Arabidopsis thaliana: one gene and its partners. The protein of the gene in region 1 interacts with the protein of each later gene in a pairwise test. Each region holds a gene or a part of one and is shown on either strand. Other genes may lie near its edges.

What was found.
Region 2: the proteins of AT4G23860 (region 1) and AT2G33720 interact in a two-hybrid assay, tested with the Arabidopsis thaliana proteins (one large-scale study listed by BioGRID).
Region 3: the proteins of AT4G23860 (region 1) and SVP interact in a two-hybrid assay, tested with the Arabidopsis thaliana proteins (one large-scale study listed by BioGRID).

What each region holds. Positions count from the first base shown.
Region 1 is NC_003075.7:12,407,342-12,412,186, forward strand, and holds AT4G23860 (PHD finger protein-like protein), read left to right. Parts: upstream 1-1,665; 5' UTR 1,666-1,824; intron 1,825-1,953; exon of another isoform or gene 1,954-1,956; 5' UTR 1,957-1,994; coding exon 1,995-2,078; intron 2,079-2,192; exon of another isoform or gene 2,193-2,442; coding exon 2,443-2,601; intron 2,602-2,700; coding exon 2,701-2,973; intron 2,974-3,060; coding exon 3,061-3,813; intron 3,814-3,905; coding exon 3,906-3,995; 3' UTR 3,996-4,337; downstream 4,338-4,845. Other genes in the region: LACS4 (AMP-dependent synthetase and ligase family protein), read right to left, coding at 96-185, 274-337, 768-922.
Region 2 is NC_003071.7:14,262,150-14,265,732, reverse strand, and holds AT2G33720 (AP2/B3-like transcriptional factor family protein), read right to left. Parts: upstream 2,002-3,583; 5' UTR 1,958-2,001; coding exon 1,646-1,957; intron 1,413-1,645; coding exon 744-1,412; 3' UTR 531-743; downstream 1-530. Other genes in the region: AT2G33730 (P-loop containing nucleoside triphosphate hydrolases superfamily protein), read left to right, coding at 1-54.
Region 3 is NC_003071.7:9,577,792-9,584,431, forward strand, and holds SVP (K-box region and MADS-box transcription factor family protein), read left to right. Parts: upstream 1-1,855; 5' UTR 1,856-2,625; coding exon 2,626-2,807; intron 2,808-3,714; coding exon 3,715-3,793; intron 3,794-4,079; coding exon 4,080-4,144; intron 4,145-4,259; coding exon 4,260-4,359; intron 4,360-4,444; coding exon 4,445-4,486; intron 4,487-4,597; coding exon 4,598-4,639; intron 4,640-5,110; coding exon 5,111-5,152; intron 5,153-5,250; coding exon 5,251-5,402; intron 5,403-5,793; coding exon 5,794-5,812; 3' UTR 5,813-6,110; downstream 6,111-6,640. UniProt on the Arabidopsis thaliana protein: Transcription repressor that inhibit floral transition in the autonomous flowering pathway, independent of photoperiod and temperature. Acts in a dosage-dependent manner.

The DNA of each region.
Region 1 (4,845 bases):
ACACAAGATTAAGCAAGGGAATAATCACATTGCGACAAAAAAAGGAAATAATGAGACTGAATATAGATATCTGAAAGGAAAAAGATGGATCTTACGTCCTTAACTCCAACACTTCTGAGAGAATTTCCAAGTTTCATGACAATGTCGTAGACTTCTTGGTATGTTTGCCAGACATACTTACCCGGCTAAGAACAATCAAAATAACAAGTGAATTTTATAATAACATGAAACGAAAATCACAAAATCAAAATCAATAACAAACAGTAACAACACCTTTCCATCTACAATCTCGCGGCGTCCCAGCATTGGATTGTTTGGATACTTCTCAACAGACATGCTGCAATAAACAATAACAGTAGAAAAATGTAAGTCAACAACCACAAAATATCACCAAACCACACACAAAGCAAAACAAAAAATGTCAACCAAATTCATGCAACTGTTAATTAATCACATGCCACTCAAAACGATGTTATTATAGACAAATGGCAAAATCATTAACCAACAAATTATATTTCTATCGATTAGAGCAACTTAGGTAGATCTTGCGATCCGAAAAACTTAAACAAACATGAATCAAATCCAGATAAACACTAGACGAAATTAAACTATACGATTCTTACTACTTGAGAATCCATAAAGAGCAAAAAACGCAAGTCAGAACAAATTCCATGATCAGTCAACAGATCAAGGATCAAAATCTCAGCAAGAATCGGAAACGAGGCTCATGCAACACAAACTCCGATCGGTTAAACGAGAAATCTCACCGGAAAACATCCCAACAACTATCCATTCCTTCGATCGGGTCGGGAAATCCGTCCTTGGCAAAGATACTCCGGTACACTGGACCAACTGATGGTCTTCCATCGCTACCTTCTTTGCCTTCTTCAACTTGGAAGATGTATTTCTTCTGCTGCGACATGATCTCTCTCTCTCTCTCTCTACTTCGTTCTCGTTCTCTTCTCTCTCTATCTGTAGAACGAGAAACTTCTGACGCGTTTTCTCAGATCGGAGAAGAAGTTAATAGAGACTTTCAACTACGACTGCGATTGGTTGCTACTCACTGACCATAAACCTGAAAAAGTCAAAGTCATATTCAACCTCTTATTGGGCCGTATACGTATCATCATATTAGGCCCAATAAAGTCATATTATCCAAATTGAAATTTATATTAGCCAATATTTAGATTTTATAATTAAGATGTCAAGAAACAAAACAAAAAGTGTGTGATTTTGATTTAAATAACTTTAGATTTTATCAATATTTTATCCCCCAATTTAATTTTTTTTTTAGAGGTTATCAATTAATCTACGATAATTAAAAATATGCTTATTACTCTATTAGTATGTGTGTTTGTGGATAGATTTGACTAGTTGCACACAGATATGATATTTGTTAAACATTAGTTATCAAAACAAAAAAATAAATATAAATTTTCAATTCATAAAAAACCATATAAGCAAGAATTTGAGATTTTGATATCCGTTTAATCTCGATACAAATTAATATTAACATGTACATTATCAAGTAACAATACTTATCTTGTGCTTATGCTTAGTTGCTGATAGTGGAGGGAAAAGGGTAATAGAATTGGAGGGTTAATGGCGGGAAAATGTCGATAAAGTCCCTTCCTTTATATAACATACATAAATTTTCTCGCATTTAAGAATTTTAACATCCGCTAGATCCTTCTTTCTTCCAAACCCTTAAGCTCCACCTTCGTTTTCCCCAATTTCTCTCTCTCTCTGCCTTCGTTTATCTATGTCTTGAAAAGTGAAAAGCTTTAGGGCTTTTACAAGTCTGAGAACTCCATCAATAACCTGGTAATGGTCCGATTGACATGTTTGATGTTTTGCGAATAATCTAGGGTTTCATTTTTTTTAAGGAATTTAGGGAATATCTCGTTTGAGTCTTTCGAATAGCTTTTATTTTACCCAATTTCATGTTTTTAGTAGTGAATTCAGGTGGGAATTTGTGAAGAATAATTGCGACAATGGCATCTGGTGTTTTCGAGGATGAAGCTGAAGGAACTATAACGATCAATGAATATATCGAAAGGCTTGACGCAGAAGAGCTGGTAATGTTCTCTTTCTCCTCTTGATCAGTTTTAAAGCTTATGTATGTTTCTGATCCTTACGAAAGTTTAATACTCTTCCACATTTTCACTCCTTGGTTGGTGATAAATCGTTTAGATTTAAGTGTAAACAAACGTCTTGAAATTGGATTCTGACCTTAAATTGACTACCTTTTCTGAAGCTAGTGGAGTGTGTTGGATTGTTATTGTACAGTCTCTGAGGTTTTGGCTAGCTAGTAATGATAGTGTGTGTCTCTTAATTAGTTTCTATTAATTTCAGTAGTGTGTATCTGTTTCTGTAATCCTATGTTATTTGGGTTTAGGGGTTTAATATTCATTAACTGCTTTTGTGATTCTTGATGTTAAGGCAGCGGATTTGGTGTTGGGTGGAGATGAAGGAGATGAGTGTACTTTCCCAAAGGGTTACATGAAAAGGCAAGCAATTTTCTCATGCATTACATGTACACCAGAGGGGAATGCTGGAATTTGCACTGCTTGTTGCTTATCTTGTCATGATGGCCATGAGGTAAATATGGTTGATATATAGCCAGGTTATGTATTTTGAAATCTGATTTCATAGTGTTAATTGGTTTCCTAATGGTTGAACATTGTTCTGGTTATGAAGCTTTTGGAGCTGTGGACTAAGAGAAATTTTCGATGTGATTGCGGGAACTCAAAGTTTGGAACTTTGGCTTGTAAGCTTCTCCCGAGCAAAGATATAGAAAACTCTGAAAATTCTTACAACCATAATTTCAAAGGCTTGTACTGCACTTGCGACCGACCTTACCCTGACCCAAATGTGGAAGAACAAGTAGAGATGATTCAGTGTTGTCTCTGTGAGGATTGGTTTCATGAGGAGCATCTCGGTCTCACACCTTCAGACAGTGTTGGTAGCCAGGTTTGTGGCCAGTGCTTAATCTTGTTGTTTACGATTGATTTTTTTTGTTGTTGGCGCTTAGTGCAATTTGTTATGTGATGTTAACAGATTCCAAGGGATGAGGAAAGTGAGCCGATCTATGAAGATTTCATTTGTCAAAACTGCTCCCCAGCATGTTCGTTTCTGACACTTTATCCTGAGAACTTGTGGGTTGTTGCTAAAGTAGATTCCACTGGTTCTGCTAATGCTTGTTCAGAGACAATTGAGTTAGACAAAAACCACATGGATTCTGAACCCGGCCAGCCAGAGAACGGTACTGATGCTGAGAAATCTGTTGTAGGAAAATGTTCTGAGACGATCAGTGACTCAGAACCTGGCCAGCCTGAGAACGGCACTGAAGCCGAGAAATCTGTTGTGCAAAAATGTTCTGAGAAGATCGATGAATCTGAAGCCGGCCAGCCTGAGAACAGTACTGAAGCCGAGAAATTCGTTGTGCGGAAATGTTCTGAGAAGATCGATGGCTCTGAAAATGTTCCTGCAGCTGGTTGTGTTATTAGGACTGATCTAAACTCGTGTCCTGAGTTTGAGAAGAAACCTTTGTTTTTGACCAAAAACTGGAGGAACATCCTATGCAGATGCGAAAAGTGCCTTGAGATGTATAAGCAGAGAAAGGTAAGCTATCTACTTGATGCAGAGGACACAATTGTTGAATACGAGAAGAAGGCGAAGGAAAAAAGAACAGAGAAACTGGAGAAACAAGAAGGTGAAGCACTTGATCTTCTGAATAATCTAGACCACGTATCCAAAGTTGAGCTCCTTCACGGAATCAAAGACTTCCAAGACGGACTCCAGGGTTTAATGGTATATATTGTCACCATCTATGAAAGAAATTTGATTACAATTCTCAGGAACCACTTCATTTAAAAAGACTTGATTCGTTGTTGGTTTTGTAGGAGTCTGCTGGGCCATCAAAGGCGATAACTTCTGCAGATATCGAGCAAATGTTTTCAAAACTGAAAAACAAACGTAAAAGGATGGAGTGAGAGGAGTTATAAAGGTAGTAAGTCTTTCTTTCGACATTTCATGTTAACTTTTTTTAGATATATGTTGTTTCGTTGGTTTGAAATGAAGAATGAGGAGGTTTCTTTCCTCTTCCTCTGCTCTTGTCTGTCTTTAGTTTCCTAAGTAATGCAACCAACTTTTTACTTTAGTGCATGAAGTTTGTAGCTTATGAAACAGTCGACTACTATATATAATAAGCTACTAGTTCTAGAACTACTATTTACTTTTATCTTTCCAACTATTTTTATATGAATTTAGTAAATACTCTTATCTTCATAATGTGTCTTGGACTCGGAAATACTTTGAGCATGCTAAAAGGAGAGCTTTTTATCGTCTTTTATTATAACCAACGATGCCCCATTGTCAAAACAACTCATTAACAGAGAGAGAGCCAAAAAGGTAAGGAACAGAGCAACAATTACACATCGGTAATGTCTTGCGACATACTAAGGAAGTCGAAGATCATCAATTACACATTTCGCAATCTCATGTGCTCTTTTGTTGGATGTAGGAGATTGTTAATATACCGCTTTGTAACTCCGGAAGCTCCTTTAAGAAGCTCTATGGAGCATGCTAAAAGAAGAGCTACTACAAACTACACACGCAAAGTAAAAAACTATTATAAATTGGGCCTTCTAAAGTACTAAGAATTAGGTTTTGGGCTTCGGAAAACCAAATTCAGTTTACATGTGAGGTCATCATGTTTTTTGTTATGACAAAAATTAATTAAATAGTATTGTAGGCCTGACCAAAAAAAAAAAAAAAGTTTGCCAGAAATCACTTAACCGAATATTAATTCTAGGTCAGTTATTACTTATTAGTGTTTTTTTG
Region 2 (3,583 bases), on another chromosome or scaffold:
GGTACGGTTCCTGATAGACCCCCAAGACATAGTGACACTGTCTATATAAATTGAGTCGATAGGCTCTCTGGATTTGTTCTTAACTTTCCCAGTGACGTTTACCTTTTGGGATTGATCTCATGCGTGTGCTTAGTCGCATGTTTTATCTTTAAGATTCGTAGTTTGATAGTGAAGGAAGCAGTAGCAAGTGTAATAGTTGAAACTTGAGTACCTTTTTAAAACGATTTAGTACTGGTCTTGTTCAAGAAAAGTATCTTTGATTCTCTGCCTAATTTTTCCACATATATATCTCCTCTTTGTGTTTTAAATTGAAAATTGATGCTCGAGACGATGCTAAGCAAGAGACAACAATGCAATTTGGTTATGTGGAAAATGACTTCGCGAACTCGACCTTTCCTTTATCCTAAAACACTAAGAGAATGTGAAATATTCTTTTGTAATATCTAATGCCCCGTGGTGGATTTGTCTACAACTACTATGTTGCATTGTTATATGTGGGTTTGTAACAAATAACTCAACTACTTTTACTTATAATGAGAGCAGGATTCTTTATTAACACTTAAAACATATAAAAACCACATGAAACCATAAAAAACAACACCGGTATACTTAAAAAACAAAAACACATGAAACCAAAACACCGAGACAACAACAAAAAAACAGAAACAACACCAATCACTTGTTTGACGATTACATAAAGAAAATAAGAATCTCTCTGCAGAGCCTCCATAGCTAGTGAGGTCCTATGGACTTGGAGGAAGAGGAGCTGAATCCATTGTTTCGGAACGAGAAAGCACACAAAAATGAAGCTTAGATTCAGAACGATCCCAATACATTCCAATCACATCGCCAACCTGCAAACCTCTTCTGTCGACAAAGCACTTACGCCATCCGCTGACGAGAACAAAGCTTGAAGATTTGGCCCATTTCTTAAGAGCCAGATTGTGCACAGAGTCAGTGTCGTGATCATACACCTCGACTGCTAATCCAGAGTCTTCTTTGACCATCATTTGATCATCCAAAGGGAGATATCTCAGAATGTGGATGTCTACAAAGCTCGCCTTTAGAACAAGACGGTATAGGTTGCCAATACTGCTTTTGGTCATTGCCATCTTCAAGGTCCATGGGTCAGCGACGGTGAGGAGAGTTAGTTCTGTCGAGACGTAGTACTTCTCCTCTTCTTTTCTTGCTCTCTTCGACATAGTCCTCATCCACGCCAGGTTTATTGCTTCTTCGGACGTTGGTTTATTGTAAGCAACATTGGGATCATGTGGCCATGTTTTGTCATAGAAACACAGATCCAGGGAGACCAAACTCTCTTCAGCGTTTTCTGGTGACTCCGTGTCCAACAAGCAATGAGTATTTGAGACTGAGTTGGGAGCCATATCCAAGACTGAAGCAAAGTGAAAAACCTGACCAAAGGATCAAAACTCTTTTCTTTAGTCATATATTTTTTTTAGTAAATAAATGGTTTCTGAAAAGCGTTTCTTAAATTTTACATTTACAAATATTTTCATATTTTATGACTAAAAAAAAAAAATCAGATCGATATGAAATAATTTAAGAATATGTCCAGAACATCTATATTGATTCAAATATTAGGGATTCTCCTGTATATCTGGCCAAGATCGCTAGTGGTTAGTACCTTTTTGATGATCCACGGATCCTTGAAGAGTGTTAGTTCTGTTGAGACACCGTACCATTCGTCCTCTGCCTTTTCTTGATACGAGAGATTCCTCATTCGTGCAATCTTTCTTTCTACTTGTGTTAATTTGTAGTCTCTTGGTATGCAAGAAATATTGAGAACTTCGTCAGAGTTCATCTTCCTCTTATTAGGGTTTTCACAAGACGACAAAGAAAGAGTTGTGGAGACCAAACTCTTTTTAGAGTTTTCCGATGACTCGTCGTGGAACAAGTATTGAGTCTTCGACGCAGAAAAGGGAGGAGGCATCTTCATTGCCGAGGATTGGAGGTCTTGGGGTAATTTTTGCAGATTTTGGATCATTCTCGTTCGATTCTCAAGATGTCGTCGAGAGTTTCTTTATCTTAGACTCAAGTTCAGAGAGCTAAGGGAACGTAGATATATAAATAATTTAGTAGCCACCTTTGCCTTAACTTTTTCAGGTATTTTCCTGTTTAAAAAAGGAAATCCATTTGTTATAGAAAAAAGGAAAATGATTTATGTGAAAACTGAATATTACCTTTGTAGTTATTTTTATTCTGCGTTTGAACTATGAAGCTGTTAATTTTCCATTTCTTAGGGTTTGGGTTTCCTATGAAGATGAGTGTGCGTCTTAGACTTTTGGTGCCAACTATCTCTATTTGCGTGAATCAATGTTCAGATTTAATATGGTTTGTGTTATCATAAGAATTTTATTTCAATATAGATGGTCATTACTATGACAAGAGATATTCAACCTACATGGGCTAGCGAAGCCCACAACATAGCCCAATACAGCTAGTTTTCTTTTTAAAATGCAGTCATGCAGATATGTGTTCAATAAGTTCTGTTTTGTTTTAATGTGAACAAAGAGGGAGGATCGGAGCTTTTTCAACTTATAAGATTTTAAGTTGAATTTGTGAATTAATTGTGGTAAAGATCATTGCAAGAGTGATGAGGACCTACATGAGCATAGATCGTGTTCCGGACAAATCTGCCCGATTCAGAAATCAGAATCCTCATTGGTTAGGCGGACATATCACATATGTAAACGACTTTATCCATGACTAAGCTAGTGTAGGCGTGTAGCCACACAAAAAACTTAAGAATATTGTGGGGTTATTTTTGTAGTATTCATTACCATTTCCAAGAAGTATAGCTACCGATGATTTGTTCACTAGTATAGTGGCCGCTATTGTGTTGTCGTGGCCATGGATATTGACTTGGTAACTAATTTTGTAGCTGGTCACAACATAAAGTTTTGTAACAATTCATATACGTAACATGAATTGTCTCATAAACATACAATACCAATAGAGACTGTGGAAATGCCACCCTCACAAACTGTATATACAGATATGAACTGTTCTATAACTTGCTACATAAAGTACTAGTAAACCAATTGAACCCAAGCACAAGTTACTCCAAAACAATATACAAGTTACTCCGTAACTCAATCTCAGCAAGACGACATTTGCGCAGCTTCTCAAGACTGATGCAACCGTGTGGCTCCACTAAAGCTCTTTTATTGAATCTCATAAAATTCTCTTGTATATGTTCCCTTGTTTTTATACCTTTTTGGCAAAGTAGCAATTATATTTATAGGTCTAACTTCTTGTACGCCCCAACTTTCATTCCTTACTGATATTTACAATTTAGCAACAACAAAAAAAATAAACACAAACAAATATCGATCAAAGCGTTCTGACTAGATCATGTGGTTTAGATCAAAATTAAAGCACTATCGTAACTAAACATACGTAATTTATTATAGTATTACAATGTGTTCATCTAATTGAATAGATGGCATACTAAGTAAAAAAGATGAATGCAACAATCAATGTATATACATAATTCAATAAATACTTAATTAAAAGATATAAATACAAATATAACACTAGGTCAAAGTTGGCCAATAAGAAT
Region 3 (6,640 bases), on another chromosome or scaffold:
AATTTCAAATATAAATGATTCATGCGGTTCCAAACGCCAATTGATGGATGTTCTACCAAATTTAATCTACTTTTACCAAACCATGACAAATATGAATAAACATTACTTGATAATAATTTTGTGAGTGAACAAACTTTTTTTTTTTCGAAACCAAACCAAGCTGAAAAAAACTCAACGATTTTCTTTGTTTAAAATACGTTAGAAAGGAATATGTATTATGCCGAAATAAGTAATATCGATCAGGCCACCTCTCTTATAGTTATTCTCCTAGCAACTTTAACCACTAGAAGGTTTTGTTTTCTAGTGTTTTCTAATATACGTCATCAAAATTTTCAAAAAATACTACATTTTTGTTTTAAAAACTTCCATAATTCCATTACTCGTAGAACACAAACGCAAACCATATTAATATTTTGTTGTCAACAAAAATTTCAAATTATAATTCAACTATATTTGCTTGATTACCCAATTAGATAGAAAAGAGTTAAAGAAGAAAAGAAAAGAGTTTACAGTAAATTAACGCAAACCATAATTATATTTAACACCGTATTAATCACATCAACCATATGACTTTTTTACCGTTTGCAACTTCATAATTCATATAGTATCATAATAAATTCGCAATAATACAACACAAGAGTTTCGTCGGAAGAGTAAATAATACTCAAATAGGGGGTGAGTGATACGAGCCACATGTATTCTTGAAGGGTAGATTATTGCAAACTTGGAGTAATAAAGAGAAGAAGAATGGGTTTGTAGTAGTTGCGTGGAGTATCTTTATTTGGGTAAAACTTTAATTTAGAAATAAAATTCTGTACGGACAATGGATCGTGTCCCAATCAGATTTCTTGTGGCTGCTTCGGGTCTGGTTTTGGGTCCCTTTGAAAAATTTTAGTGGTCGACACTTTTTATTTTACTCTGGCTCGTGCCTCGAGGGTCCCTCTATTCACTGTTTCTTCGTATGAAGGTATGCTTAAACATTATTTTATTTTTAAAAACCCTTTAATTTTATTTTCTTACCTTTAATCACGGTTTTGTAAATTGCTTTTTAGTCTATGGAATGATGATTGTGGCGATTGAAATCATATGTTTGGTTCTGTTGTTGACGTTGGTGAAGTATATGTGATTTGTAATGTTGAGCTTATGTATTAAAATGTTAAATGATAAATAACCTCGTAAGAAAGTGATTTCATTTAAATTTTATTTTGAGTTACATATTCAATTGGTTTTATAAAAAAATACTTCAGTGATGATTGATACCCCCATTGTGTGTGTAATTGTTACTGGGATTGAACAAAATTTATTTGTGCATGACAAACTTTCCAAATTAGTGCATAGATTGTAATTGTATAATGGACTACATGTATCTGAGTAGATATGGTTCATTAGGTTACAAACCTCTTTTTTTAAGGACACAATTTTTCGACAAGTTATATGCCACATGATTGACTACTAAATTTTCAAAAATTATTGCACTAATGTCTTTGAAATTAACAAATTATTTTGTCATTTCCGAGTTGGATTCTTACAAACCAAGGCCGAACTCACAAACTTATTTCTTTCAGTAAAAACAAAACATTGTCCTCAGAAAAATTCTGAAATGTCATCTTCCCAAATGTTTTTACATAAATAAAAATAATATACAGTTGATATTATTTTGTTCTTTCTGAATTTTGTTATGAGGTACCATTACCATATAGTACGTAGATTTACAAAAATGAAAATACGTTGTAGCCCTTGATGTTCTTCAGGTCTTCTAGTTAGTTTTTGCAGTAAATACCAACCAATTAGTTACAAGGAGTATAAGTGAACAAAGTGAGACAACTCATTTTATGCTTCCCTATAAAAAGAAATTCCCCACTGACCCAAACACACACTTCTCTTCTCTCTCTCATCTCATTGGAGACTTATAAATCCTATTACCTCACCATATCCAATAACCACCACACACAGACCAATATCCAAAAAAAAAACTAAAACTAAAAATATAATATATATCGTTTTCTTTCCAAAAATAATCATTTAAGAAACCCCATCATCTTGATAGTATTATAAAATTAATAAACCTCTCCCTGAAAATATCTCATCCTTCACCAATCAAAACCTTCTCATGTCTTCTTCTCTCCTCGACCTTTGAGGTGGAAAATTAAATATATTCCCTTAGCTTTTTTTCTCCTTTAGTTTTCTTCTTCTTCTTGAGTTTTTTTTCTTTTGATCCTCTCTAATTTCCTTGTTGATTCATCGACTAGATCTAATTCTTCTCACAAAAGACTGAGTGTGTTCTTTCTTTCAAATCTTTCAAAAACTAGGGTTTTTACTGTCTTGAAATCATATTTATTCTTCTAAATTTAGCAAAAAGAACACGATTTACTTTCCATTTCAGTCGTCTTGTCACTCTCTCTCTCTTCTTTAAAGTCTCCCTTTTTAGCAAAAATTCTCTCTCTCACAAAATTTATTTCCTCTGGCTTCTTCTTCCTCCTCCTCCATCTCTTCTCTTTACTCTCTCTTTAATCATCTCTCATTCTTGAATCTTGATCCATCAAAATCAATCCCGTTCTCGAAAGATCCATTAAAATCAAAACCTAAGCTCTCTCTCTTGCTTCTAGGGTTTTTTTGTTCGTTGTGATGGCGAGAGAAAAGATTCAGATCAGGAAGATCGACAACGCAACGGCGAGACAAGTGACGTTTTCGAAACGAAGAAGAGGGCTTTTCAAGAAAGCTGAAGAACTCTCCGTTCTCTGCGACGCCGATGTCGCTCTCATCATCTTCTCTTCCACCGGAAAACTGTTCGAGTTCTGTAGCTCCAGGTCTTTCTTTCTCTCTCTAACTTCCCTCTCTATAGATTTCTCATAACTCATCGAAGGAATCTTGTCTAGATCCAGACAAAAAACTTTAAAGAGTTTTTAGATGTATATCTGATACATAGGAGTTTACTGTATCAATCTTTATAGGACCACTAACTATTTATATAATTAAAATAGTTGTTAGAAACATTAATCATGACCATAAATGACATATATAAAGTGTATAGTAAAACTCTGTATTTAGATAAATTAAGGTATCTAACTACGGTAATATTCAAAAAGATGTAAATCTGGATATGCATATATGTATATTATTAGTATATAAATACATGCTCTATAGTAGGTATTTGTGTCAACCATGTATAAATCTATGTATATAGATATTGTGGTATGATATGTTTAAGCCGTCAATGTCATATTTATATAGAAATATGTGGGTACCATAACATGAGGAAGTATCTATATGTGTGGATGTATAAAGCTTTCCCTTTGAAGAAGTAATCTAAAAATAATATATATATATATATGTATATGTATAGATATGTTGGAATCTTTATTAGTGTTGGGAAAAGTCATTTAGAGAGATATTATTGATATTAGGGATCTAAAATGACTTATCGTATTACAGAGATACGATTTTGGATTTTTGACCCACTAGTTATCAGCTCAGTTCCTATCTTCGGGGACATACACACTTTCACAGATAATTGTGTATATATGTAACTGAAAACGATAGTGTTAACATGAAATAATGTACATGTTTGGGATTAAATGTGTTTTGTGGATTTGGTTTGCATCTTTTGATTTTAGATTTTGGTATATTGTCGGTGTTTACATATGCACATTGTTAATATCAACAGTATAGTTGTTTATAATAAGTTATTTATTGGAATGTGTTTATATTATGAAGCATGAAGGAAGTCCTAGAGAGGCATAACTTGCAGTCAAAGAACTTGGAGAAGCTTGATCAGCCATCTCTTGAGTTACAGGTTAGCTACATTCTCGAAACGACCACACATTTTCTTTCCCGATTTCTGTAACTTGCAAAATCGAGTATTACTCCGTTGAATTACCAATATGTTTTAGATTGTTGTATTTATTGACCAAGAATCTCTTAAAACTTTGTATTAATAGGTACAAAACTTTATATTATTGCATATGATTAATTAGACTCGATCCATGTAGTAGTCATGTAGAGTAGTCCTGTGTAGAGAGTTGAGCTTTAGATCATTATGGATATGATTAAGAGCTTAAATCAATGTTTTATTCTGTTAGCTGGTTGAGAACAGTGATCACGCCCGAATGAGTAAAGAAATTGCGGACAAGAGCCACCGACTAAGGTACGTTATATATGTATATTCTATGACTTTTGAACTAACTATCATTTTCTAACTAATTTTTTTTTTGATCAACCACTATCATTTTCTAACTGTGTGTTTACATGATCATATATAGGCAAATGAGAGGAGAGGAACTTCAAGGACTTGACATTGAAGAGCTTCAGCAGCTAGAGAAGGCCCTTGAAACTGGTTTGACGCGTGTGATTGAAACAAAGGTTGTTAAGAAAATTACTTGATACCATGTATAAGTTTCTCTAAGCTTACGAGTATGCAATTTACTAATACGAGATGTGTTTGCAGAGTGACAAGATTATGAGTGAGATCAGCGAACTTCAGAAAAAGGTAATAATTAACCAAAATAACGTTTATTCTTTACTTGATGATTTCAATATTAATTTTGGCAGTTTCAAGATCCAAAATTTTCATCTTCTTCTCTTTTTTTTTGGTGTTCAGGGAATGCAATTGATGGATGAGAACAAGCGGTTGAGGCAGCAAGTATGTGTCTTACCCTCTCTGTTGATAACAAATCCCTTTCTTTTGTCTACCATTAACGTACACACCCCTAAATTTAATCCCCAGTTGTCTACAACACATATGTTTGATCATACTGTGAGATAAATGAATAAACCAAGTGATATAGCGCGATTTAAAAATGTCTTTAAAACTAAAGGTAACCATGTAGCTAGTTAGTCTCTAGGGTCCTAGAGGTCTACGAGTGTGCATGCATGGATTTGGTGCGTTTTTTCTTTTTCATCTTCATTTTGTTTTTTGAAACAGGGAACCATAAACGAATATATATCTAATTCTTGTTTGATATATAGTTTGGTCGAGGCTTCATGTCAAGATTTGCTCATTCGTAGTTAGTTGATCTCTAGAGAAATTCAAAACACATGGTGCCACTAAAAACACAAAATGCAAATACTTAGCTAGAGAACTTAATGATATGTTTTGTCTTGATTTTTGCAGGGAACGCAACTAACGGAAGAGAACGAGCGACTTGGCATGCAAGTACGTGGATATATATATAGTCTTGATTATTTTGAATTTTGTATGTTTGTTATCAGTTTAATGTTAAATTTGGAATATTTTTTTTTGGTTACGTGTAGATATGTAACAATGTGCATGCACACGGTGGTGCTGAATCGGAGAACGCTGCTGTGTACGAGGAAGGACAGTCGTCGGAGTCTATTACTAACGCCGGAAACTCTACCGGAGCGCCTGTTGACTCCGAGAGCTCCGACACTTCCCTTAGGCTCGGGTAACCAATTAATCACCCTTTCTTTTTACATTCTTTTGAGTTGATAGCTTTACATGATTTTTTTTTTGTTTTTAAATTGAGACAAAGAATATAAAAATATATACTTTAAACGACCATATACATGTATGTTGTCCATATTTATTGGCATTGCAAGATATGGATGACACAGAATCGTAAATAAATTTGGTTTATTTGTTGTATATTTGTAATTCTAACAAATAACATGTTATTTTGTATATTTTACATGATATCATGCTATTTGTTAAAATTACCTGTCATAAAAAACACCACTTATTTATGGTTTGTTTTTTGAAAATTCTGGCACAAATCTAATCATCTACAAAATCACTCTAAAAAATAAGTTATTGATTTAATGTATGGTGTTGTGCAGCTTACCGTATGGTGGTTAGAGATGGAACAATTCAAAGAAGTTGATGGAGTGAGGAGAGTAATGTAAATCTTTTTAACTCGGTAGTAACAAGAGACAATGTCTAAGTAGTGAATTCTCAAATGTTTGTGTAAGTTTCTGCCTATGGAAGAGGCTTTCATTTTTATGATTTTCACTATGTATGATCTCTCTTCACTGCATTTCTGGTTAGTAACGCTTGTCACCGATAAACTTTCTCGTTATGGAAAGTTAGAATATAAAATATTGTAGAATTTTGATTATCGATATACTCTTGGTTAGGGATCAAAAATATATTTTAGTGATGCCTCAAATAACTAATAATCATCATAGGACTCAGTCTCATTAGAAATTTTAGTGTAACAAAAGTGTGATTCGAATTCATCTTGTTGTTTTGTTGAATTTGTTGCAAAGTTTTACAAGTTTTCTCAGACCAGAGATTTCAAGTGTCTTCATTGGTGATGATTCTGGTGAATTGATGATCTTACTTGTGTGTGTGACACTTGCAATGTGTCTTGTTTGAGAAACACATTTGTAGTTTAGTTGGAGCTGTGCGGTTGGATGAGACTGAGTTCTATGATAATAAATTAGAAGCAAAGTTTCAAACCATATTCATACGATTCATTATGTTAGCAACAAGAAATATGAATATGGTTTGAAACTTTGCTTCTAATTCATCATTCGTTACACAACGTCCAAAATCTAAAAAAGTTTCAGATTTTCTCAAAATTCAGTAAATGGGCCTCTATATAATGAGGTTTGACGTTTTAGAGATACTTTGCACAAGAAAGAAGGTTCTGGTCGGATCGTTACACACCGACCTTTGACCGGT